Linked DNA regions of Drosophila melanogaster. The protein of the gene in region 2 interacts with the protein of the main gene of each other region in a pairwise test. Each region holds a gene or a part of one and is shown on either strand. Other genes may lie near its edges.

What was found.
Region 1: the proteins of CG8195 (region 2) and Nepl5 interact in a two-hybrid assay, tested with the Drosophila melanogaster proteins (one large-scale study listed by BioGRID).

The regions. Positions count from the first base shown.
Region 1 is NT_033779.5:6,376,350-6,388,642, reverse strand, and holds Nepl5 (Neprilysin-like 5), read right to left. Parts: upstream 7,378-12,293; 5' UTR 7,346-7,377; coding exon 5,291-7,345; 3' UTR 5,224-5,290; downstream 1-5,223. Other genes in the region: Nepl6 (Neprilysin-like 6), read left to right, coding at 3,131-5,098; DIP-epsilon (Dpr-interacting protein epsilon), read left to right, coding at 2,396-2,554, 2,612-2,740, 2,809-2,959, 7,853-7,995, 9,363-9,533, 9,616-9,803; slam (slow as molasses), read right to left, coding at 11,479-12,293.
Region 2 is NT_033778.4:15,557,699-15,571,107, reverse strand, and holds CG8195 (uncharacterized protein), read left to right. Parts: upstream 1-5,306; 5' UTR 5,307-5,534; intron 5,535-6,061; 5' UTR 6,062-6,296; coding exon 6,297-6,386; intron 6,387-6,446; coding exon 6,447-6,587; intron 6,588-6,643; coding exon 6,644-6,697; intron 6,698-6,761; coding exon 6,762-7,365; intron 7,366-7,425; coding exon 7,426-7,837; intron 7,838-7,895; coding exon 7,896-7,944; 3' UTR 7,945-8,411; downstream 8,412-13,409. Other genes in the region: Cdk5 (Cyclin-dependent kinase 5), read left to right, coding at 38-225, 386-750, 813-976; CG30466 (uncharacterized protein), read right to left, coding at 1,570-1,593; Flo1 (flotillin 1), read left to right, coding at 1,938-1,989, 2,282-2,357, 2,602-2,956, 3,268-3,279, 3,395-3,865, 3,936-4,079, 4,141-4,305, 4,517-4,534; CG12963 (uncharacterized protein), read right to left, coding at 8,884-9,293, 12,938-13,100, 13,174-13,242.

The DNA.
Region 1 (12,293 bases), on a different chromosome or scaffold from region 2:
CGAATTTATGGCCCATGCACACAGAATGCATTTAAATGCGCCAGCGATGGCGATGGCGTTGGTGATGCCGATGGCAGCCTGCTGTTGTCCATCCTCTGATGCTGTGCCGCCTGATGCAAACTGGGCACGGAGCATCAGGAGCAGCAGGAGCAGCAGCAGGACCCCCATAGTTGCTCCCCTTTTTTCCCGCCAAATTACCGCACATTGCGAAAGTAGCAGCAAATGCAGCTTGTAACCGAAGCAAAATAACAAACACCAACAATTACGAGCTGGACGGGAATGGGCACGAGGATGTGGATGTGGATACGGGGTGTTCTTTGCGCGTCTGCCGCATACATATATTCTCATTTATGTTCACATAATGAGGCCATTTATTAAATTCAATTATTTTGTTGACATCGGTGCGGTACGAAAGCAATATTACAATGTGCTAAGGTAACAAATAACAGAAATAGCCGCTAAACTGGGAGCCACAAAATAGGCAACAGTATCCAATGGACATTACCTTAACCTGGTCATAAGCTACTGTATAGAACTGTCAAAATTTATATTAAATTTAAACTGAAAAGTACTGAAAATAAAACAAGATACTAAATATTAAAAAACGGCAAATTAAAATGAATTATTCTTGTCTAATGCCATTATCGTTTTAAGCTAGCAAAAAAAGATAAATAACTAAAAACTTTCCAAACACATCAATTAAAAAGTTTATAAGGATTTTGCAGCGCATGATGGTCTTGCTAAGCGAAGTGCTAAGCCAAAAACACCAATTGACGCATTATGTAATAAGCGATAGAAATTCGTGTCCAGCACTTGCACCACTAATTAAATTTCACATGCACATATGTATGTCGAGAAAGAAAGTTTCTTGGTTTAGGGTCCAAAGTTTGCGCAATGTCGGCAGCTGCTAAAAATATCAATAAGAAACTAATATGTCAAAAGCAAAGGGAACAACATCTGCTGGGTCACCAAGTTGGGCCACCACTTTTTTTTTTCATCCTGGTGCTGTCCTGGATCTGTCCTGGTTTGTCCGGCGATTAGCACATCAAGCGTTTATTAATAGCATGAAATAAAGCTTTGGCAAAAAGTTTTTTGGTCATTATTGGGCATGAGAAAAGAAAAGGTAAAAGGGCGAAACTTTTGAAAAGTTTTTTCTTTTAATTACGCTTTTTTCCCCCTACGGTTACCATAGTGCTCGGATGGGAAAAGTTGAAACAGGGGTTTTTCCTTATGAAAGGCAACTTTCTACGACGACAAGATAACCTGGCCATTAATGTTAATCCCCACGATGCAATGATACGCGAACAATATATGTATATATATATTTATAGCCCCGTGGCCTCCAGTTCCATCAATTAAAAACGTGTGCCGAAAACCAGACATTTGCTGACCCGACTGCCATTGATTAGCTGTCCAATTCAGAATGAATGGCGACAGGTCACTGCAAATACGTGACCTGTCATGGAAGACCTGGCCTTGACCCCCGGAAAATTGCAGGAGCAAATAAAATTTATGATTTTTTGTTGGAATGGAAAACTGCATTTCAGGCAACTTTAGAAATTTATAAAAAAAAACAACTGTCAAAGCTAACAAATGTACACAACTAACACAGCTCCAACTACCAACTCCAAGTTCTGGTAAACACTCCATTTAAATAAGATACATTTGAAAAAGAATGGTAATTTATCGCAGCTAACTTCGGGTTGGAACCAGTGTGCATTGCCAGATATTAAGCCAGTGCGGTATGCTGTCCATTCCATGACCTTTTCCATGCTTCCCTGTGATTTGCATAGATTTTTCATTAAAGATTTTCTGGGATTTTCGACCAAATACAAAAGAGTTTCCCGGAAGATTGAAAAAATCCCTCAAACAAAGTGAATGGCAAGGGAAGTGAAACCTGATGACAACTTGATGAAGGTTGCCGCATCGATTTTTGAATTAACAGAATGATTCCTTATTTCGCCAGGAGCAACGGATTTCAAACGGACTTCAAATCTGAATCTGGATGCAAAGCTAATTAGGCTTAAAGTTACGCAGTGACTGTGAGTAGAACAAGAACTCACTGGGGAGTGAGCGCATTGGAGTCAACAATGCGTGAAATGTTCCTTTTTTTTCCACTTCCTAACTGCCTTGGGGAAGTCCAACTTGTCTGGGGGTAGCTTTGATAAGCCAGTTATTAGCATTACAAGTGCTTCTCTTTGAAAGGGTATTCCCATGTCTCTGTAGTCCTAGGAGTGTTTTTCACCGGTTTCCGCTTTCTTGGCAACGACATTTACATGAAAGTGGAACTTTTCACTTCTGTCCTTTGCATTTAAATCGAGCTTTGCACGGTTCCGTGTAGTTTTTGGGTAAAATACTCTCCTAATGTCCGCCTCTCGCTCTCTCCATCCAATAGTGCCGCCGAATATAGACGACGCTCTGACCTCCAGTGACATCATCGTGCGCGAGGGCGATAACGTTACGCTACGCTGCAAGGCGAAAGGTAGTCCGGAGCCGACCATCAAATGGAAACGCGATGACGGCAACAAAATCGTTATTAACAAGACGCTCGAGGGTGAGTCCAATCCTTAGACCAGCCTCTGGCTTGCCATTTACCCAGAAATGATTGCAGTGCACGACTTGGAGACGGATTCCCTGGAGCTGGAGCGGATTTCGCGACTGCACATGGGCGCCTACCTGTGCATCGCATCGAATGGTGTGCCGCCAAGTGTGTCCAAGCGGATCAAAGTCAGCGTGGACTGTAAGTCAATTGATATCCGGACTTAGTTGGGTTTTCTTATATTCATATATATATATATTTCGTTTCAGTTTCGCCCATGGTCTGGATACCGCATCAGCTGGTGGGTATTCCCATTGGATTCAACATCACCCTGGAATGCTTCATCGAGGCGAATCCGACCTCACTTAACTATTGGACGCGCGAAAACGATCAAATGATCACTGAGTCATCAAAGTACAAGTAAGTTGAAGTCATCGTGCTATTGTCTTTTCACCTCTCGATTGAGGATGTTTTGGGTTATCTCTTGGCTGGATTATCAGCTGTGGGCACATTATATTTCGCTGATATGTCGACGTTCCGCGGCCAGTCGCTTCCAGCAATCTGGGATCTCGGCTCAGTTTGCTGTCTGCGATGTGGTTGATTGCCTGCCTGTTTATTGTTCCTATTTGCGCTGCTCCAACAACCCAGAATGTCGAGGCGGATCCCAATTCACGGCTAATGAACAACATCCTCAGCTACGTGGCGGAGGATTCCAGTGCGTGCGGCACCTACTTTCAATATGCCTGCGGCAAGTACGCAGTACGTCACCGCGACGATCCCTTCACGGAGATCATCCAGATGCTGGACCACAAGGTGAACGGAAACCTAGTCCAACTGATGCACGAGCTGCACCAGCGCTCCCAGTCACCCGGCTTCAACGAGTCCAGTGTGGAGGCCAAGGTCTTGCACTTCTACCGCACCTGCCGTGAAGCTCCGCCGAGTACACGCAAGATGGAGCACTACCTTAGACTAGCCCCTCCTGGCCAGGCACTTACATGGCCCCAGTTTATGCCCCGCGGCGAGCCATGGCCAAAGGCTCAATTCAAGTGGATGAAGTCCTTGGGACACCTATACCGCTATGGGTTTACCAATGTTTTGGTGAACGTGTTGGTCTTACGGAGCTCTGAGAACAGTAACCGCTTCCGACTGGACATCAGTATGCCTAGTCTCGAAGGGGACGCGCAGCACCTGGGCGGTTTTCTAAGTACCCTCGCCACTCTCCAGATCATTGGTGTGCCGACGAAAAGCATATTACCCCTTGTGCGGAAGATCAGAAGGCTAGAGTCCGCCATACGCGTCCTAACCGAAGTGGACGACGATGATGAAAGCGAGACTTGGACTTTGCGCCAGTGGGAGTACAAAACCGGCTACGCATGGCAGGGTTTCGTCGAGTCAATAGTTGGCCATAGTGTCTCACATCACTACGTGATGCAGGCGCAGAATGCAAAGTACTTCACGGGCCTTAAGCGGCTGATGGACTCCACGGACGCCGAGGTGGTGGCCAACTACATCATGACCCGATTCGTGCTCTACCTCATAGACGACTTTATTGACAGCAATGAGCACATTGATTGCGTCACGGATATGCGCCGCAACATGAATCTGGCATCGAACCTGCTCTACAAGGAGCGCTTCCTGGACCCTGCGACACTACAGCAGTACACCCAGGAAGTTACGAAGGTCTTTGAACAGCTGCGCCGGCAGTTTCTACTGCAAATCAATGAGAATCGCCTTGGGCTAACCAGTGAGCAGAACAGTATGGTTGCCACAAAAGCTCAGCATGTCGTTCTCAATATTGGGAATTTGCCAAGAGGTCGTGACCATCGTAGCTTTGTCAGCCGGCACTATGAGGATCTTGTCTTTCCGCTCCCTGATTTCGACTACGCACGTGAACATCTTAACCTGCTGGAGTTCCGCACCAGAAAGCAGGTTTTACAACTTAACCAAAGTGCTCCGACACCCGATGAGTTCTTCTACTTGTCGGATCCTAAAACGGCCATGAGCTCCGGACCCTACTACCTAATGCGACTAAACATCATCGTTGTGCCACACGGACTTCTACAGGAGCCATTCTTTGCAGCGGATAGCCACGACATATTCAAGTACAGCCTGTTGGGATTCGTACTTGCCCATGAGTTGATGCACTCAGTCGACACCGTGGGTCTTTATTATGACAGATATGGGAACATACACGAAATCGGACCGCAGATATCCAGTTCGCCACGCTTTGTGGCGGGTTTACAGTGCCTGAACCGGAACAGTACACAGTATCTGGACGAGCGTATTGCAGACATTGCTGGACTGGATCTGGCCTATTCCACCTACTTCCAGAACAGCTCGCAAATGAGTCTAACCGATTTTACGACCATTCCGCCGCAACAAATCTTCTTCCTCAATCTGGCACAGTTCTTCTGCGGCGATGGTGATCCAATAAACTTCGTTGGTCACGACAACGACGAGACGCGTCTGCAGCAAATGCTCAATGGGTTCGCGCCGTTTCACGAAGCTTTTGGTTGTCCAGCAAAGAGCAATCAGCCTGAAAAGTGCCAACTGTGGTAACTGGATTCAAGTAGTGCTTGAAATCTACTAGTGTATAAAACTATATTAAACAATAAACTAGATGGATCTGAAAAGAGTTCACTACCCCATCGAGTTACTCACTCACATTTAAAAAACTCTTCGTTAGGTGAGATTTTATTTATTCATCACTGGATCCTGCCATGTCCTGTGGGAGAGATGGAAAGAGAACTATTACCAGATGCGGCACCGCTGGCTGGCCTGCATCTTGGCCTTCTTATCGCACCCGAACTCCCTAGAGAACTCTTCAAAATTGGCCAGCGTCTGCATCACACGCAACTCATCCGCGGCGTGCTTCAAATGAGCCTCCGACTGAGATCGCGGACTGAGCACGGGCGTCCGGCCGCAAAAGAACTGGGCGAAGGTGATGAAGAATAGCTGCCGCTGGCTGAACTGCGGCAGCAGAGGATCCCTGGGCTCCCGCTTGTCCCGCACCCCGAAAAAGGTCTCATACGCTAGACGCAGAGCCACAAAGTCGGCCAGCTTTTCGTCGATCCACTTGGAACCGGTGGCCATCTGTTGCTGAAGACACTGGAGTCCTTGTCGGAACTGACGGCTAGCGCCGATCTCCTCCACGGGCCCCATGATGTTTCCCATGGCGTCGTAGTCCATTCCCAACATATCGAATCCGTGTGCCAGCTCGTGGGCCAGGACAAATCCCATCACGGCGTGCTGCTGCAGGGCGCTAATGTTTCGATGCCAGATGGGCAGCTGGAGCAGACCGTGCGGCACCAGGACCAGATTGCGTGGTCTCACATACAGGGGCGACGAGTTGCTGGCCTCCCAGCTTTCCGACAGGTAACTCAAGTTGCTCCCCGTGGAATTTGCGAAGTTTGTCACATTTATGTAAAGCAGATCGTGGTTCGCCTCAACGCGTTGTCGCAGCAAGACCAGCTGGTTGCCATAGAAGGAGTGGCCGCTCAGGTCGATGCGGACGTGGTACTGCTCCACATCCTCAATTTCCTCCGTCTGAAAGAAGCCCATCTGCAGTCGAACTGCGCGCAGTTTCTGCTGCAGGATGTGCACCAGTGGTGGCGATAGTCTCATTCGGTTCTCAGCCAAGATTTGGCCAAATCGCACCTTCAAACGCTGGAACAGTGAGCTTACGTAGGATTCGGATTCCGGATCGGAGAACTGCTGACCCACCAGCCAGCTACTGGCCAGAGGCATGGCTCTTCTGAGGGCGGCCACGCACTCACCTCGTGAGATGTCCGCGGGTCCCTGTTGCTTGAGGAAGGCCAACCACTTGAGCATGATGTAGCTGCAAACGGTGTCCGGGCTCTCCGATTCCATCAGATCGCTCAGGGCCCTGAGGTACGGAATATTCTCGATGATTAATGTGGAGCGCAGATCCAGCTCGGAGTCAATGCGTACCTGGCGCATGAAGGATAACCATCGTAGCTGTGGCAGGTACGAGTCCAAGTAACCAAGCTGCATTTCTCGTGGTCCTTCGTCGTCCTCCAGCTCCTGCAGGCGGTGCAATTTTCGTTCGAAGTCGTCCACCTGGCGAGCCAAGGCATTGGCCGTTCGCTTTGTCTGCCCAATGTCCAGAAGCAGCTCGATCATGGCACCTTCTCCCATGGGCTGCGTCTCCTGGCGACTCGGCTTGTTCACATAGATACTGTAGTTGCGAGAGTCATCCCATCGCGGCAGTACCTCCTCCCGCAGCAGCACCCCGTTCAGTCCGTGCAGACGCAGTCGCCCCAAGGTCGTTATCCAGTCGAACCGCTCCGGACGCCAGCCCCGACCCACCGATGGCCACTGCGTGGAGTTGCTGGGGGGCAGGAGCTGCAGGTACTTCTTGAGGTTGTACGGCTTAAGGCGTTTGCACGAACGGTAGTAGAGTCGCATCTGCTCCAGAATCGAGGAGTCCGACTCGAAGGAGCTCTCATTCCTTCGCCGCAGCAGCAGCTCCAGCTTCCGATTCACGGAGTGGTCTATCAGTCCCAGGGTGTCGGTGGGCAGCATCTGACCCTGGTACCGCTGCCGATCCCTCGTCCAATCTCTGTCGCGCAGGGAGTGCTGCTCCTGCTGCTGGATCTGCCAGTTGCCGCAGGCGTACTGGTAGAAGTTCTCGCAGGGACGCGCCTTCGTATCCATGTAGCTTTGCAGCTGCTCGGCCAGCATTTCCTGAACGCTCTGGGGTGCGTTGGTCTGGCGACAGGCGGTGGGCGTGGTGCGCCAAGCCAGCGAAAATATGAGCCAGGCCACTAGGCTTAGCTTCAGCATGATGGTTTCGACTGTGACAAATTGCAACTGGCCGGACTACGATTTGCCCGGATCGCGGAGACTGCGGACTAGAGCAGGCCCATCGCCTGTCAGTCATCATCGTGGGAGGAGCAGTGGATCCTAGCTATATATACACACCCAGTACTTGACCACTTGACCTTTCTATTTTCAGGCAAAGGTGATAATTAACAAAAATGCTTTAATAGGTTCAAAGTTCGAAGAACATGATCCTAGAACGTACTTTATACCCCATTTGGTGGCATATTCTTCAAAGCATTAAACACTCGTAAGATATTATAATATTTGACTTTAAATTGGATCTTCAGTACCTGGAGCCACTGTACTTTGTAGGCTAGGTCGCATTTTGATTAGACATAAGTGCGCGCTTATCAGTTTCACCTTGGCCTTGATACCCGATTGTGGGCTGTTGTGGAACTGACCCACAATGAGCACAATGGCTGTCATTGAACTTGCCTCACGCTGATGCCTCCGTCTCTCCACTTTCAGAACCGAAACCATTCCCGGCCATCCGTCGTACAAGGCGACCATGCGGCTCACGATTACCAACGTTCAGAGCAGCGATTATGGCAACTACAAGTGCGTCGCCAAAAATCCTCGGGGCGACATGGACGGCAACATAAAGCTGTACAGTAAGTGACTAGGCTATATGTGTTATTTATACCCTTTGATATTGCGCCACTGTCATAGGCAAATGTATATGTACACCCCTTTTTAAATGGGCGCCAGTATTTTGGGGGGTCTTTAAACTTGAAACTCCGACAGTTCCTTGATTCCAAAGGAAGCAGATTGTACTGTTCATTTTATCAGGATTTTTGGTGCCCAAATACTTTTTAATATACAGCAAGATTAGATTTTGATATTTAATAAGGAAATGACGCGTTTAATTTGTCTCACCGACGTTTTTCTTCATATCCTTGCCGCCGTCAACGGGGCGTATGCGCAATCCTCACAACCGGCAATTAGAGCCACTGTAGTGTCAATAAAGTGTCAATATTGTGTCAATTTGCTAAATTACTCCCCAGTCACTGTTTGGGCCATTAAAGCTCAGCTCGGCAGCAGCGATTCCGATTACAAAAGTTCATAAAACAAAATAAAATGCCCGCTTGTTGGTGGTGAGGTTGTGAGGTGGTGACAAGAGCCCAACGCCACCAAGAATGGCGAATGTGAAAAGACAACTTAATTTATATATACACGGTTTTCATTCTGCTGCCACAACAATGGCCTGTGTAGCCCATCGAAAAGTGGGCGTCATTCTACCAATTAAAGGTAACAATGGCCGCATCGATAATAGAAGGGGCAGCTCCGACAATGAGAACAATGAACCTGTGACAATTTTATTGAGTGGTCAGGAGGCGATACAGTCGCAGAAAGGCGACATCAACCAGGCATTGGAGTGGGCTATAGTTTCGTGATTCCCAGCCGAGGCAAGGCCAAGTGTCAAGCCCAATAAATTTCCTCTACAAATTGTCTTCAATAATGCCAACGGAGGGCAGCCAGCCGAGAAAAGGAACCGAGAGTTGTTAATCCTCCCCGGGGAGATGGCCAAGAAATTGAAAAGAATCGGGGGGGAAGGGCGGGCAAAAGGGATTGCACTGAATTTACGATGGCTGATAAGTGAAGACAATGCGGCTGGGTAACCGAAAATATCTGTTTAGAAATCGAGCAAAGGAGTTTCGGCACTGATGGGGCGCACATTTTTGGGGCAGGACTGGCTTATAACTCACAGTTAATTTAAGTTGTTTATGGATTGTTTCCGATTGAGCAATCCACTTTTGTTCGGTACCGTTTTTTGGCGCAGACATCACGCTCTTACCCCTTATTTTAATTACTACACTGACAGAAAGTAGATAAAATAATGCAAAAAAAATGTATAAAAGAAAAAGGATTCATTTCTGACATGTAGCGTTACACTTCCTTTAAAGTTCCACTTTGCGATAGCTTCTATTTATTGAATTATTTCTACCACTCATGTACGCCAATATTTCTCTACGTGTAGTGTCGAGTCCGCCGACAACACAACCGCCGCCCACAACCACAACGCTGCGGCGGACGACAACAACCGCGGCGGAAATCGCACTGGACGGCTACATCAACACGCCCCTGAATGGCAATGGCATTGGCATTGTGGGCGAAGGACCCACAAATTCGGTGATTGCGTCCGGCAAATGTGAGTAGTGCCCAAAAAATGCATAGGATGTTGATGTTGGCAGAACAAATGAACACGTTGCACTTTTCATTATCAATTGCAGCGAGCATTAAATACCTATCGAATCTGAACGAGATCGACAAGTCGAAGCAGAAGCTGACGGGCAGCAGTCCCAAGGGATTCGATTGGTCCAAGGGCAAGAGCAGCGGGAGTCATGGCAACCTAATGGCGTCCAGTTGGCCCCTCATCTGCTGCATCCTCGCACTGCTGACGACACACTCGTGTGGTTGAGAACTATGTGCGATTCCATTTTAATAAAGTGCCATTACAAACAGTCGAAATGAAAGGTGTTCGAAGCCGATGCATACGATTAGCCATAACAACTGTGTAATTAATTAAGCGAATTGCAATTTGCAAACGTTAACGAAGTCAAGCTTTGGTTTTCCCCGAAACTCCCTATGCAGCCCATTAATATTTGATTACGTTTGGTGGCGAAAACCACAGCGTGTTTTTAGGCAAACAAAGTTACCAAATTAATCAACCTCGCATATTTGTTTACCATTCGTTCGGAAGCACTCTAAAATATTTTCTAAAAATTCGTTTGGTTTTAAAACCACTATACCATCGGTGAGGGTATGCGAAGAATGTTGTAAAAAGCATTTCGGCAGGGCCAAAGCAAACATGCGATGCAAACCAAAGCACATAAATCCTGGTTAGTTAGATATAAAATCAATTAATTTGCATAAATACAAGTGGGAAAAAATAGTATACCCTTCGAATGATGCCAAATTGTTAAAAAGAGAGCACTACTCACTCACCTCCAACTGTAAATAAGCGCGTATATGCATGGATAAAACCCCAAATGCAATTGTAAATTATGTACTCGTTATAGGCACTAGAAATGAATGTTCATTTGTACGAGAGTAGGCATCAAACCATTTCAAAACTAGATATTTAACGGGAAAGCGAAAGGCTTAAATACTCTGAAAAACAGGCACCTAAAATGCATTAATCAAAAACCATTAACCTAAATAAGTAACTAAGCAAATATGAATTACGAATATTCACGATTGAAGCGAAAACTGTTGATACATAATTTAGTTAGCTGATCAGTTAAGACGGGTTTACAGTTGAGAAATAATCCAAATAAAGCCAAATCCAAATATGTAAGTTCTAAACTACTCATACAGAAATACATATATATATATATATTTAAATACCTACATATATCATAGGCCTTAGTTTGTGTTTCTTAACGATAAGAGTGATAATGTATATTTATTAACTTGCTCCCCGAGCGGAACAAACTGGCACTGCGAAAGAAACAAATAAAATATCTATGTATTTGGGATTGCTTCTTAAAACTTAAGCGACTTTTATTTCAGTAATCTGTGGTTCTTGATATTGACCAGTGGTACTTGTGCAAAAATATAACTATTATTTTTTATTTGAAAGTCAAAAGAATGTCGACGGGACTTTTATTTTATGTTGAACAAGTAACCATTTATTGCATTAATAGTTAGTACTTTTCTCTGATACCATGTTTGCGCAGCACTTTTGCACGTGAAATTGTTATTGAACCGAACCCAGCAACTCCTTTTGGCCCCAAACGGATTCCCTTGGCCACTGGATGTGCACTAACATGGTATCCTTGGCCAGGAATGTCTGAAGTTGATGCAACAGGAGCATTTGCTTGATGAGAGCAAGAAAAAGAAACCATGTGCTTGCAGGAAACGTGATGCTTGCCAGACTCCTACGTGTCTGCAGGATAGCAAGGAGCTATGCCCTCCAGAACCCCTGATTTTGTTGGACTCTGCATGCCCAAGGAAATACACTGAATGGCTTTAACTTTTCTCTTTAAAGTTTATTATCTAAAATCTTTGTAACATTATATGTTAATGTCTAGGAACTAATTGTTTATAAAATCTTAAAATAAAGTCAGATCCCGATGAGGTAGCACCATCGCTCAGACCTCCACGGCCCTCCGGTCCATCAGGGTGTCGAGAATCTTGTCCATGTGCTCGCTGCAGTTGGCCAGGCACACATCCGCATACTCGCTGAGGAAGTACATGAAGCTCTCGAGCTGCTCCATCGAGCAGCCGCGGAAGCCATCGTCGCGTCCAATGTTGTCAATGGCCCGGATGATGGAGCGCAGCTTGTGGACATATTGCGGCGTGTTGCGGCAGTGCTCCAGCGAAGAGTCGGCCAGATTCGCGGGCTTGGCGTAGCCACGAATGCGCTGCTCCACACTGCGAAGTTTGGACTGCTGCTGCTTGAGGGTCTGCATCATTTGCGGCACGGACATGGCGGGTGTGGCGGCAGAGGGAGGAGCCTTGGCAAACAGCTCGTCCAGGGGAACCGCCTCGTAGTCCAGGGAGAAGAGATCAGGCGAAAAGGACAGCCTACCACTGTTGTTGCCGAAGCTATCGGACTCGAACTCCGTCTGATCCAGGTCGCTGGTCTTGATCGCCTGGTTGGCACTGATGCTGCTGTTGGGCCAGGAGTACTTGCTGCGACCCTCCAGGCCATTGCTGGCACCTGTCTGCAGACCCACCAGTATGCTGTAGCTGCTCTCGATGGAATACTTCTGGGTGGTGGGCCAGAACTCAGGCACGCTGCTGAACTCAATGTGGTCAACGCCGAAGCGCAACTCCGACTGCTCTCCGCTGAGGAAGGCAAACAGCCGCTCGATCTTCTCGCTGGACATCAGTTTTCCGCTGAAGGGCACTGCGAGATCTCCGCTGGCGAACCAATAGTGAGAGCAGCCCTTCACACTGGGTG
Region 2 (13,409 bases):
CAGTTTATAAACTAAATCGGCACATTACCATCCGTAGGAGCTGAAGCACAAGAACATTGTGCGCCTCATAGACGTCCTGCACTCGGACAAGAAACTCACCCTGGTCTTCGAGCACTGCGACCAGGACCTCAAGAAGTACTTTGACAGCCTCAACGGGGAGATCGACATGGCCGTCTGCAGGAGCTTTATGCTCCAACTGCTCCGCGGACTGGCATTCTGCCACAGGTATACCTATATATGTATCAGCACTGGATTAGGTCTTATCTTGTGTCGATTATAGTTAGAATCAAGTGTTATTTGGAGTAACTTCATCTGTGGCACATTTCCGAATGATATCCATTTTATAGCATTGAGACTTAACTTACGCTACATTATCCTATTTTAGCCATAATGTCCTGCATCGCGATCTGAAACCACAGAACCTGCTGATCAACAAAAACGGCGAGCTAAAGCTAGCTGACTTTGGTCTCGCTAGAGCCTTTGGCATTCCCGTGAAGTGCTACTCCGCAGAAGTGGTGACCCTGTGGTACCGACCACCCGATGTCCTATTTGGAGCCAAGCTCTATACGACCAGCATAGACATGTGGTCCGCTGGATGCATTTTGGCCGAACTGGCGGACGCTGGACGACCGCTGTTTCCTGGCTCTGACGTGCTCGATCAGCTGATGAAGATCTTCCGTGTGCTGGGCACCCCCAACGAGGACTCCTGGCCAGGAGTTTCGCACCTCTCCGACTACGTGGCGCTTCCATGTAGGGATTCTAGACGGATTTTATTTATCGATACCAATATTAAAAGCCTATTTATATTATAGCTTTTCCGGCCATCACCTCGTGGAGTCAGCTGGTACCTAGGCTAAACTCCAAGGGACGCGACCTGCTGCAAAAGCTGCTCATCTGCCGGCCAAATCAGCGAATTAGCGCGGAGGCGGCGATGCAGCATCCCTACTTTACGGACAGCAGCTCTTCGGGACATTGAGGTCGGAAGGTTCTTTCCAAGCCACTGTTTTCACGACCTTTGATTAGACTTAAGCCAAAATGCGAGACTTTGTCCAGCAAAGATCTTTTAATTATATATGTATGTCCTTGCAGTAGAGTTCGATTATAGTATAAGATAAAAAGTTCTTTATAATTTCATTAGTTTGATTTACCAAAGCAAAAGGTTTGATTTATGACAATCCCTACCAATGTGACACTTAATATAGCCATTTGAGCTGCCAAATTAACATTTATCGATAAAATACTTATTGATTCAGTAAAATAGTTTTATTCTTAAAAATTTTTATGTTGAGTGTATCGTTAAGATCCGAAAATTGTTCAAATTCCTAGACGATATCTACTGTTTGTGTGAATGTGGAAAAAATATTTGAAATCCTAGTTTCTGTTTTCAAAGACTAAAAACTAGGCAATACATCTGGTTTCCAAATTTAATGAGTGTCGACGATTTTCTTATTACATTTATTGTGTATTTTTAAGAATTTCGATCTTTCTGAATGATATGAGTCATTAAGTAAATTAGAATAAAAAAAATTGAGATGTAACCTAGATTTTTAAACCAATAAAGACACTTACCGCAGCACTACGTCGTCGCAGCATGATGAATATTTTGAAGTGGTCGCCTCAACCCCCGGCACTCAATAGGGGTTAAAGTCGTTCTGCGCACTCGCGAGTTAGAAATTGAGAACTTTACAGATTGAGAGATTTTTTTATTGTGCTACGAATTGCTAACCGAACCGGTCGGATTTCTGAATCTTAAGCACCGAGTACCTCGGAAATTCTTTTATATATATTATTAGACGAATAAACAAGGCTACCTGTGGATCGGATAATTCGCTATATAGTTAATAATCGGAAAACTGTGTTAACCGCGCAGATAAAACAAAAGCTGTTATCAGCAGCAACCCATTTTCTAATATAAATAACAAATAAGTGCTGCAGAAATGACTTGGGGATTTGTAACCTGCGGCCCCAACGAGGCTTTAGTTGTCTCTGGTAAATCACACGATCCTTATATGCTCAAAATAATGTCAAATCGATTAAATAAATAAGTCAGTGAATAAAAATGAAATTGTCACGCACACACACATATATATACACCCCACCCCAAGTGACGTCACTATCGATTTTTGTGTACCGCAAATGTTGTTGTTGGGATAACAGGGGAAGAAGCTGAATATGCGGCAGTCCGAAGCCATGCGTGCGCATTTGAACGGCGTTGCGGTGCTGTTATCCAAATGCTGCAATGTTTTGTAAACAAAGTGTTTTTTGTTTGTTTTCTGCGCAGGGTGCTGCTACATGAAGCCGCTTTTGGTGCCGGGAGGACGAGCATTCGTTTGGCCAGTGGGCCAGCAGGTTCAGCGGTGAGTTTTAACCGGCTTAGACCAGGGGTTCCAACGAAAAGCCACAGGTTAGGGAGGCGCTAAAAAGCGCGGGTATTCGAAATATTATTCGTAAGAATTCGGTTTTATTAAAATATATTAAATTATAATAAAATAATCTTATTTTATCAGATAATATTTAGTTAATATTTCTGGCTTCGTATCTGAGTCCCTAGTCTTAAGATAACAAGCCCTCAGATGTTAAATGTCCGCCAATCTTCCCCAGAATTTCGTTGAACACGATGACCCTCCAGGTAGAGAGTCCTTGCGTGTACACCAGCCAAGGAGTGCCCATCTCGGTGACAGGCATTGCACAGGTGAAGGTCCAGGGTCAGAACGAGGACATGCTGCTGACCGCCTGTGAGCAGTTCTTGGGCAAATCAGAGGCAGAGATCAACCACATCGCCTTGGTCACCCTGGAGGGGCATCAGCGTGCCATCATGGGTTCGATGACCGTGGAGGAGATCTACAAGGACCGCAAGAAGTTCAGCAAGCAGGTGTTTGAGGTGGCCTCCAGCGATTTGGCCAACATGGGAATAACCGTGGTTTCCTACACCATCAAGGATTTGCGCGATGAGGAGGTGCGTAGTTCCAACCGATTACTTTTTACCACTCTCCCCGCACAACTAACCCAATCATCAGCAGTGATGGGAATAGGTTCTGTATTTTATATATATATTAGTTTTGGTTTTGTATACTTGAACAAAAATTTATTTAGCAATTCTGCAGTGATTCTATATATATTCAAACTTATTTTCTATTTTAGATTTTCTTTTTTTTATTCGATTTTCCCATCACTGTGTACCGGCTTCAAAGCTCCCTTTTTTCAAATAACCTCTTGTATATATGTGAATATATATATTTCTTGCATGTCCACATGGATCCTCTGTAGGGCGACTCAAAGGTGCGTATGTCCGCCCAACCGCCTGTGCGTGGAATCGTTGGGACACGTCCATCAAATTCAGCTTCTTGTGTAACTATCGGGATACTAACTCCTCGCGTTCAATTTCCATTTTCAGGGCTACCTGAGGTCATTGGGTATGGCCCGCACGGCGGAGGTGAAGCGCGATGCCCGCATTGGCGAGGCTGAGGCCCGAGCGGAGGCCCACATTAAGGAGGCCATTGCCGAGGAGCAACGCATGGCCGCACGCTTCCTCAACGATACCGATATTGCCAAGGCCCAGCGCGACTTTGAGCTGAAGAAGGCAGCATACGATGTGGAAGTGCAGACCAAAAAGGCCGAGGCCGAGATGGCCTACGAGCTGCAAGCGGCCAAGACCAAGCAGCGCATCAAGGAGGAGCAGATGCAGGTGAAGGTGATCGAGCGCACGCAGGAGATTGCCGTCCAGGAGCAGGAGATCATGCGCCGCGAGCGAGAGCTGGAGGCCACCATCCGCCGACCGGCCGAGGCGGAGAAGTTCCGCATGGAGAAATTGGCCGAGGCCAACAAGCAGCGCGTGGTCATGGAAGCCGAGGCCGAGGCTGAATCGGTTAGATACCATCTAAATATTTGCTTATAGACTACGATTAACTGAAGCATCTCCATCTTCTTTGCAACAGATCAGGATTCGTGGTGAGGCTGAGGCCTTTGCCATTGCGGCCAAGGCTAAAGCAGAGGCCGAGCAGATGGCCATGAAGGCAGAGGCCTATCGTGAGTACCGTGAGGCTGCCATGGTGGAGATGCTCCTGGACACACTGCCAAAGGTTTGTCAATGGTTAGATTAAAAGAATCTATAATTTATTCTATGTTGAATCTAATTCGCAGGTTGCCGCCGAGGTGGCTGCTCCACTGTCACAGGCTAAGAAGATCACGATGGTGTCCAGCGGAACTGGCGATATCGGTGCTGCCAAGCTGACCGGCGAGGTTCTGTCGATCGTCAACAAAGTGCCAGAGCTGGTCAAGAACATAACCGGCGTGGACATTGCTCGGGTACGTTCCAATTCTGAATTTATCTAACTTCAGAGCTCGTCGAGGTGAATGAATGACGACGCAATCGAAACCAAAACAAATGGCAATCAAAAGACTTTGTAGACAGGAGGACGCTGCTTTCGTTTGCTACCTTCGTTTGATTTGAGCCTTGTTTTGCGATATAAATTCCCTGGTTTCGATTCACTTTACGTTTCCTTTCTCTTCATTTCAGTCTGTGCATGCTGGCTAAAAAAGTACCCAAAAGAAAACCAAAAACACACAAAATTATGTACTCTTCAAAACGAAAATAAGAAAACAAAAAAGAAATTACGCTATATTGAACGATCGAATACTTCAAAACTGAAATCGAACGCATTTAAATTTCTTTATAATTAATATATTATTGAATCTTTGTGCTAACCCGACAAATTTTGCAACATGTTTTACACACACACTCAGAGAGAGGAGCAAAAATATTTTGTATTACATGTATAATGTATTTATATAAGTGTATTGCACAAAGCGTGGAATAAATATTCTTCCTTGGATCAACAAATTGAGTTTATTTTAATGGGTCGGCAAATATAAAGGAAGTTGAAATTTTAAAATACCAAAGGTTTTGGCGGTTATTCCACATTGCCACACTTTTCAATTTCGCATATGCGCTGCCACCTTTTGATATAAATACGTTGGGCAACCAGCGTTGCCATGCCTTTTAATTAATCCATAAACGATACGTCTTCAGTTATTTTATAATGTTTTATTAATTTTAAATATATTATTATTAATGTATTAATCAGCCAATTGTTTCTGATGAAGCATTGAAGTTGGCTTCTCTCAGATAACTTCAGCTTTAGTGAAAGTTATGAAAAGGAATGGAATAAGAGAATTTGTAGGCATTTATATATAATAGCATTGTTATCACAAAATATATATTATATATTCAAGACGCAAAAAACAATCGATGCGATATAAGAAGTTGAATACATCGATAGTTTCGATAGGTTGATGTTGTACCATCACTAATAGCAGCTCTGTCCAGCTGTGCGGATAAAAAATCATAATCAGAATATCAGTATTATAACGCACATTACTCCCAAGAGTGTAATCTGAAAACCCACTTGAGTTAAGACAAATCCTAGAAAATAGAAAACCATAAATATTGTTTCCGCTCAACAAAACAAACACAAAGAAAACAATTGCGGCAGTGGGAAGGAAAAAAGTTCCGCCTTCAAAAGAGGAATCAAGTGGTAAAAACTGCATAAATAAGTCAAGCATAGCCGCAGAACTGTAGATAATATCACAATTAAGTGATGACCAGTAGACTTGTTGACTTTTTCAGACTTCATATCGCTGCCTGTGTTTATTGATTTTGTTTTTGGCCTGTTATCAACAACCTGCCGCCCACTCCCACCCTCCCCCTCTCCACACTCGACAAATGTATTCTTATTTACCCAACAAACAATTGGTTTTCAAAGCCACATATCTTATCAGTCAGTCCCCCCGAAATCTTGCTAATTTGTTTATACTTATCTGATCACCGCGATCGGTGATAATCCCAAATTAGATGGAGATATCTGCTCAAGCAGATGTTAATTGACCGATGGCTTTGTTAATCGAATTGCTGCTACCTAACAAAAGCGATTCGATTCAAACGTGTTAAATAGTAATTTGCGCCTTGAATAATGCCGCACCCACTCGTCAACAAAAAATCAATAAATGCAGATCCCTACCAACTTTATGCACTCACACACTCCCTCCAATTTTTCCATTCTAGCTAAAATGACTACCTAAAGCCCAAGGTTTATCTGTGTAAAATTCACGGACCACGGACCTTTTATCACTTTTGAAAGCAGAACCTAAAGACACCGCAACAATGAAACTAAAACGCTGGCGGCACAAGCGTAAATAGTTATTTGTCAACGGATAACCGAAGGAGCAAGACATCCCCCAAAAGGCGGGAAAAGAAGCTAAGTTCGTTTGGAAAACATTCGAAAAACAGGCGAATAATCATGCTAGGTCGCACACAACGTCTCCTGTTGGGCATATCAATACTGGTACTAGTCGATGTGGTTTGGGTCTCATCCAGTGAGCTGACAAAGGTGATAATTTTGTTTTGAAAACATTTGGAAATCGGTTTGAATTTTGATATACTTTACTAGTTCCTGTACAATGAGGCCAATTTTGACAAGCCCTTCTTCTGCACATACTTCAAAACCTCCATGTTCAGCATTTACCTGCTAGTCATCGGTATCCTGGCTCCCTGGAAAGAGTCATGCGAGCGACAGAATGGAAACTATGCTGTAAGTAATTAGATATCCTAATTATAAACCCTACTAAGTGATTCTTCTTCCCTTAGATGATGGAGCAGAATGCAGATGACGAGAATTATTACTCCAATCAGGCTGTTTTGGTAGGCAAATCATACAATCATATATTATGTACAAAAAGATGTAACCTTTGTCTATACCTACTAGGGAGACCCAACCTATGTGCCCATCAGATCGCCTCACTTAGGAGCCGGAGGACAATCCAATGGCACCTCAAACTCCATATCGGGCACCGAAAGCGATGATTCAAGTGTAAGAAGTGTGCGCTTCAGCAAGATGGCCGAAGTCAGAGAGATGTCTGCCCACGAAGCCACCGATGCCTTAATGGCCAGGCTTTCGTATGCCGCCAGCTTGAGAATTAGGCGCCAAAAGACACACCACAAAACGGCAAAGACTGCGCTACTCTTTTGTCTGCTCTGGTTTGCGGCCAATTACTTCTTTCAGCTGGCCCTGGAAATGGACGAGGCGGCCATGATAACACTGGTTAGCTCAACATCGTCATTCTTCATTATCTGCCTGGCAGCCGTATTTCCCTCGGCAACAGGTGACAAGCTGACTATCACCAAGGTGATTGCGGTGGCCATGAACATTGGCGGAGTGGTGGCCATCACCATGAACGACCTACACGATACCAAGATGACCAGAGGCGTCCTTTTAGCCCTTTTCAGCGCTTTCTTCTATGCCGCCTATTTGGTTTTCGTGAAGCGAAAAAGCGATACGGAGGAGAAGGTCGATATACCATTGTTTTTCGGTGAGTAAAATTGCTAAATTTTGAGTTTGATCGCTGCTTATCTTCTGACTCCCTTTTTAGGTTTTGTTGGCCTATGGAATATGTTGCTTTTATGGCCAATATTCTTTATCCTCCACTTCACCAAAATAGAAACCTTTGAGCTGCCCAGTCAAGGGCAGTTTGCCCTTCTATTTTTGAACGGCTTAGTTGGCACTGTGCTGTCGGAGGCTCTTTGGCTGTGGGGCTGCTTTTTGACATCCTCACTGATTGGCACGCTGGCAATGTCGCTACAGATTCCGCTAGCCATCCTGTTCGATGTCCTGCTGAAGAACAAACCGTATTCGCCGATGTTCTACATGGGCTCGATACCCATCTTTGTGGCCCTGGTGTTCGTTTCGCTATTGATGCGTAACGACGATTCCGACCCACTGATGAAGCTCTTTAGGATTGTGTATAGAAAAGTCTGCCGGTGCCATAAGCCAAGCATTGTTAGGTGAGTCTGGTGTTCTGGCAATATGAACTGTCTTTTAACAGCATAATTTCTTGCCTAGGGTCAACGATGACGAACAACAGGAGTCGCTGATAAGCAACAGCGATTAAACAATAGCAATAATCACGAATGGAGGCTTTTTGTAAAAGTCGGGCTTCTACAAACTTTGAATGTTGCTCATTGCAATGCAATCTAAAACTTGGCTGTTTACGAGTTCGTTTCGAATCGTTCTTAAATCATATTGGGACAAGTCCTGCACAATTTCCCTTCGGCCCTGATTTGTGTTTCTCATTTGTGCATTTTTCGTTGGATATTATTGTGTTGCGAACTTACGTACAACTATTTATTATAATCTTACAAGTGTATTTATTCTCTGTAAATAGCTTTAGATCCCACGAATACCGTTTATCTATGTGATAGTCTACAACGTTTTGCTGAACTCCACCTATAATTTATTTCCTCGGTATTCACACTGCGCTTAGCTGTATAATTGTTGACTTCTCAATACAAGATGAAAAAACATATACACATATTGATAACTAATTACAATAAATAAAACTTGTCTACCGTAAGCTTTAAAATCTGCTGAATCTAAGGTTAATAGCCATACGGTGGCAGCGGTTAATCGTATGTAAATTAGAAACCATTACTTTTTCATTTTTAAATAATGTCGATTACACGATTTCTGAGTTTATGCTTTATGGAACTTATTTATTTTTGATAAGAACTGATTTTTCATGATTCATAGAACTAATTTATTTTGTATTTTACCATTAAGAACCGATTTTTATATTGTACTTAATCATGAACTTTCCCAAAGTTAAAAGTCATTATTTTCAATTAAATAATTCACTTTAATTTTCATCCTATGTCCTAAAAATATATATTTACAATATGCGACTCCTAATGTCTAGAACTTAAATAGGTATGTACTCAATAAGATCACACAAGTTCATTTCTGTACTGAAAGCGCACACAAAGTGGCATCTGTGTGGCCCAGAGTGGCACGGCGAATGCTTCAGTTCCAATTTATCCATGCCTCCGACGGATCACACCGCTGTCGTTGGCAATGGAGCAGGAGGACCAGATCCGGAGCTGGGTGGAATCTGTGCCGCGCGGGAGGTGGATGGCTCCATCGGTTCCATTGCGATGACAGTGGCTTCTGCGGCGGACGAGGAATGTGGATCTGTCTCCGAATACGGTGGCGCCGGCAGTGCCGCGATTCCAATGGGACTGGGTACACCGAGGGGCGATTGGGGAACAGGCATTCCAGCCGCTGCTGCTGTGGGAGTGGTCAGGTTACACATGCGCATCACCTCGTCGTAGCTGGGTAAATCCTTTTCATCCTTTTCCAGTTGATCGCGAATGCGGTTGGCCTCCACGCTGCCGGGTTCGATGAAGAAAATGTCGCCATAGCGGTTCGATGAAGGATCCTCCTGTGCGTTGAATACATTACGATCTGAAAATAGGTTAAGAAAAATAAGTGAGTAGTGAATAGTGAATAGTGAAGTCTTTAAACATATAAAACTCATAGGACGAATGATAAGAATTTAATTAAAGATTACTTGATTACATCATATTGATATTTGGGTAATGTCATTTAAAGGAGAGTTGTTTTATACACTTCGAAATATTTGTATATGTGCAGTTTGATTAACCCACACAACAACCTTGTTATTCGTTAATTAATTAAAATTGGAAACACTGCTCTAAACACGACCTGATAAGCACATTTTAAATGGGCTTCTAAAAACGAGTTGATTAGTCATATTAGCACTCCAAATTTCACACACACAATAAACACTTTTGAGGATAATATTTCTACCAGTGTGACCCAAATGGGCTATGTTCCATACCAGCTTGTATCTGGCGACGATTTCGAATCCTTGAGTCGTGCATTCGCTTGGCCAGCTAACAAATAGATAAATCAGTTATGGGCTTCTTTACTTCAAAGCCATTAAGATAAACTCAGCTTGCAGGATTAACTACATACGTATATAAGCTGGGCCACCGCGAACATGCAAAACACAAAGCCCAGCGCGACGCTCAGATTAGCTGTCAGACCCATTCCGCAATTCTCGAAGACTGGCCAAAAAGTAATCGCCCGAACCTAACCGATTAGATTGGCTTCCTGCCCACTTTCGGATTGGCACACGTTACCAATTTCAATGCCGTATCGCTGACGATGGTGCTCTGGAATCCTCTGCTGACGTCGACATCGCGGCTGGCAGATCTTTGCCAGAGTTTGGCTCTCTACGCGGATGTAGTAGCAGGCCAGCGGTAGTACGCAGAAAAAGAAGAACACCAGGGCCAAATAGATGGCTATGTGCAGGCCGAAGCCGCTGCCCCAATCCAATGTCGGCTCCGATCCGTGCATGATGAGACTTAGAACGACGCGGAGCAGGAATCAATGCCGAACTACAGCCACCAACTGCGTTTTGTAGACACTAGTATTACCCATAGTTCGCCGTTCAGCACGCAATTGATTAGTCGCCCAAGATTAGATTGTCCGCCATGTTTGGTTGGCATTACCCCATAAATGTTACTCCATATATCAGATATACCATATATACGGTCCGGCGGTTTGCACACACAAACCAAAGCCAGTGTAACTTACGAGAATCTATTCGATGGTTTCGATGTCTATAACACCAGCATTTCAAGATCCAAACAACAGCGAACTTTGGGGGAATAAGAACAGAACTTGGTTACCAATCACCATCGAAGGGATTTGCTGAATCTAAGGATCACCTGTAGGGCTGCATAGGCCACGATGCCGATCAGCAGGCGTAAAAAGAAAGTGGCTATGAGTTCCATTTTGCAACGAGCTCTCCAAAAGACTGACCCCCCAAAGTTACTGATTTGCAATATTAGCAAGACGTTCGAAATCAGCTTATCACGAAAGTCCACAAAACAAACACTCTAGGCTTTATGGATTTATGGTAGCACTTGATCATCAAACCCACCCACACACAGTCACTGTTTGTATCAGTTAGTCAATACATATATAAAACCGTCAATACATCAATACATCAAGCCATCAGAGGCAGTTCAAGCCATCAATACATACCAGTACGCTGGCGTTGACGTTGTCGTCGACGTCTACGTCTTACCGGATCTTGAAATCCCCGAGGATTGGTTCCACAGCACTTGTTCAGAATAATCCATAGTATAAACTTTTGGGGGAATATCAAAGAAGTGATGAGTGAAGGACTAAGGAAGGAAACTTATATCCCTCGCTTAAAGTTAGGTTCAAAAATGTGGTGGACAGATACCTGAAGAGCGAAATAGACCATGGGCATGATCAGGAAGAAGATAAAGAACAGCCCCACATAGAAAATAAAAAAATCCATTGTGTCAATACCCGCCAGAAAAAAACACACAATCGAATCACTTGAATGGCGAGTTAAAACTGAGAACTCTGCAAAACGAATTTCTAGCTAATCTTATCTGGGCCAAGAAACCCATCTGATTGGCCAAGTATCTATATATATACCGTCCGATAGCCACCGAAAATAAGTCAAATTTGGCTTGTTTTGAATGAAGCGTACCATGTCGGCGTCTGCGACTCCTGGAATCCCTGGCCTCGAAGCACACCCAAATGCAGAATCTCAGGCAGCAGAAGGTGACCGCACAGGAAATGAAGGCCAGGAAGAAGAACACCAAATACGGCGGTATATTCGACATTTTGTGATCCGAAAATTCGGTATATCCACGTGGATACGCGAGCACCGGCGATGTTATTCGCTCCATGAAAAGGCCTTAGGCCAACTGTCATAATATGGCGCGTCGCTAGCTTTTGGCCAAGACTTATCGGCGACTGGGAAGAGCGCGGATCGCGGGAGCGGCGGACAGGTGTGTCAAGGGCCATGTGATAAGCGCTCGACGCACAGAGTCCGATAAGATACGCCTCGCCACTATCGCTGTCTCAGTCGGGCGGCGTTCTATTACCTGTGTGCCAGCTGTAAAAGTATCTGTATCTGACAGATATGCGCATAATTACGCTTTGGATAATGTCATCCGGGCACGTGACAGGCGAAAGTCGCGAAACTAATTAAGGAAGCAAATGTCACATAAATCAAATGTTCTAGATTATACTTCTACAAGCACTTGAAAATTATATAGATCGTTTGGAAAACTTTTTTTTATAAACAATTGTAAATTTCTTGCAGTGCAAGAACTATTCTGATTATCAGATTTTCTGTTATTTAATAGATTGGGGTAGATAAGATTTAATTTAAATTTTTATCTGTACATGGTATACTTAAAGAAAAACAAGTGTCTAATAAAAAAAACATGTTATATGATATTTTAGAAAACCGATTAGTTTGCGAATGGAAAATTGGTATTGAAATATATTCATAATTTTCTCTCTTTAAATTCATTCAATGCCATGTTCAAAAAATCAGTTGACACTTTGAAATCTTCCTAATTAAGTAATTTCTTATACTCATTGAATAATAACCAAATGCTTCTTTCTCATGTCTTACAACCCATTATTGTAAATGAACATTATAAGGCATTGACTTTAGCCAAGCGTAAAGCAGCGAATATAGCTGAATGTGTAATTAATTCATAGCGATTCATTTGTAGACAGACAAAGGAACATAATTTAAAGGGCGGAAGAACATTTTCGCCATCAAAATGAATGCCACAAATCACTGCGGGCCACCTGAGCTGCTCACCTGGCGTCCAACTGAGACGACTACTCAATCCCGGCGACGAGGGACACGAGGAAACGAATCTGCTCAAGGGCGGGCTAACTGGCAATCTCCTTCGACGCTTCTGGGCTACACATCTCTGCAATTATCTGGCGGATTCACTTCCATTTGCATTGATAGCCACTAGTTTTGGGCCAAGAACTCACACTGATGGAAAAGTATAAAATCAGCAGGAAGAGGAGCAGCAGGACACCGAACTCGCACCAACGGAACTGGTCGCCCATTTTGCGGAATATCTATATGGCCGAACTGCGACCGTACATCTGAATAAATTAACGCTACTGTCGAACATTGGGAATCTAACCGAACAACCGAACCCATCGATAAGGGAGGCACCATAGATAACTTTATCGAAAAACGCTTGTGACTCATGGCTGCTCACCTGTGCTGAGGGTTACTCCTGACTGATCGATTCTATAGCTGTGCAGAACCCTTCCGGGCTGTCGATTTGTTGGATTCTCCCCAGGACCAGGACCTCGTCCTGGACCACGACCACTTGAGCTGGTTCGACTAGGAGTCTTTTGTGTGGCGCACAGACAACAAGCCTACAGGGTCAATAGGGGATCGTTGTCATCAGACAGGGGTTGAAATTTTGCGATAAATCACTTGAGAACTTACTCGAATCAGTATGCATACAATTGAGATTATGAGGAACCAGCCAATCATCATAAAAGCGTAATAGGGCATTATGAAATTGAGAACTTAAGACCGGAAGTCCAGAACAGACAACAGCACCGATTTACCACCGTTCGCCGCGCACAAGAAACCTTGCTGAAATGGCAAAGGCAATGCCACTCATTGCTAACAGCCTAATCACCAAACAAAACCAAATCGCACATACAACCCTTATCAAT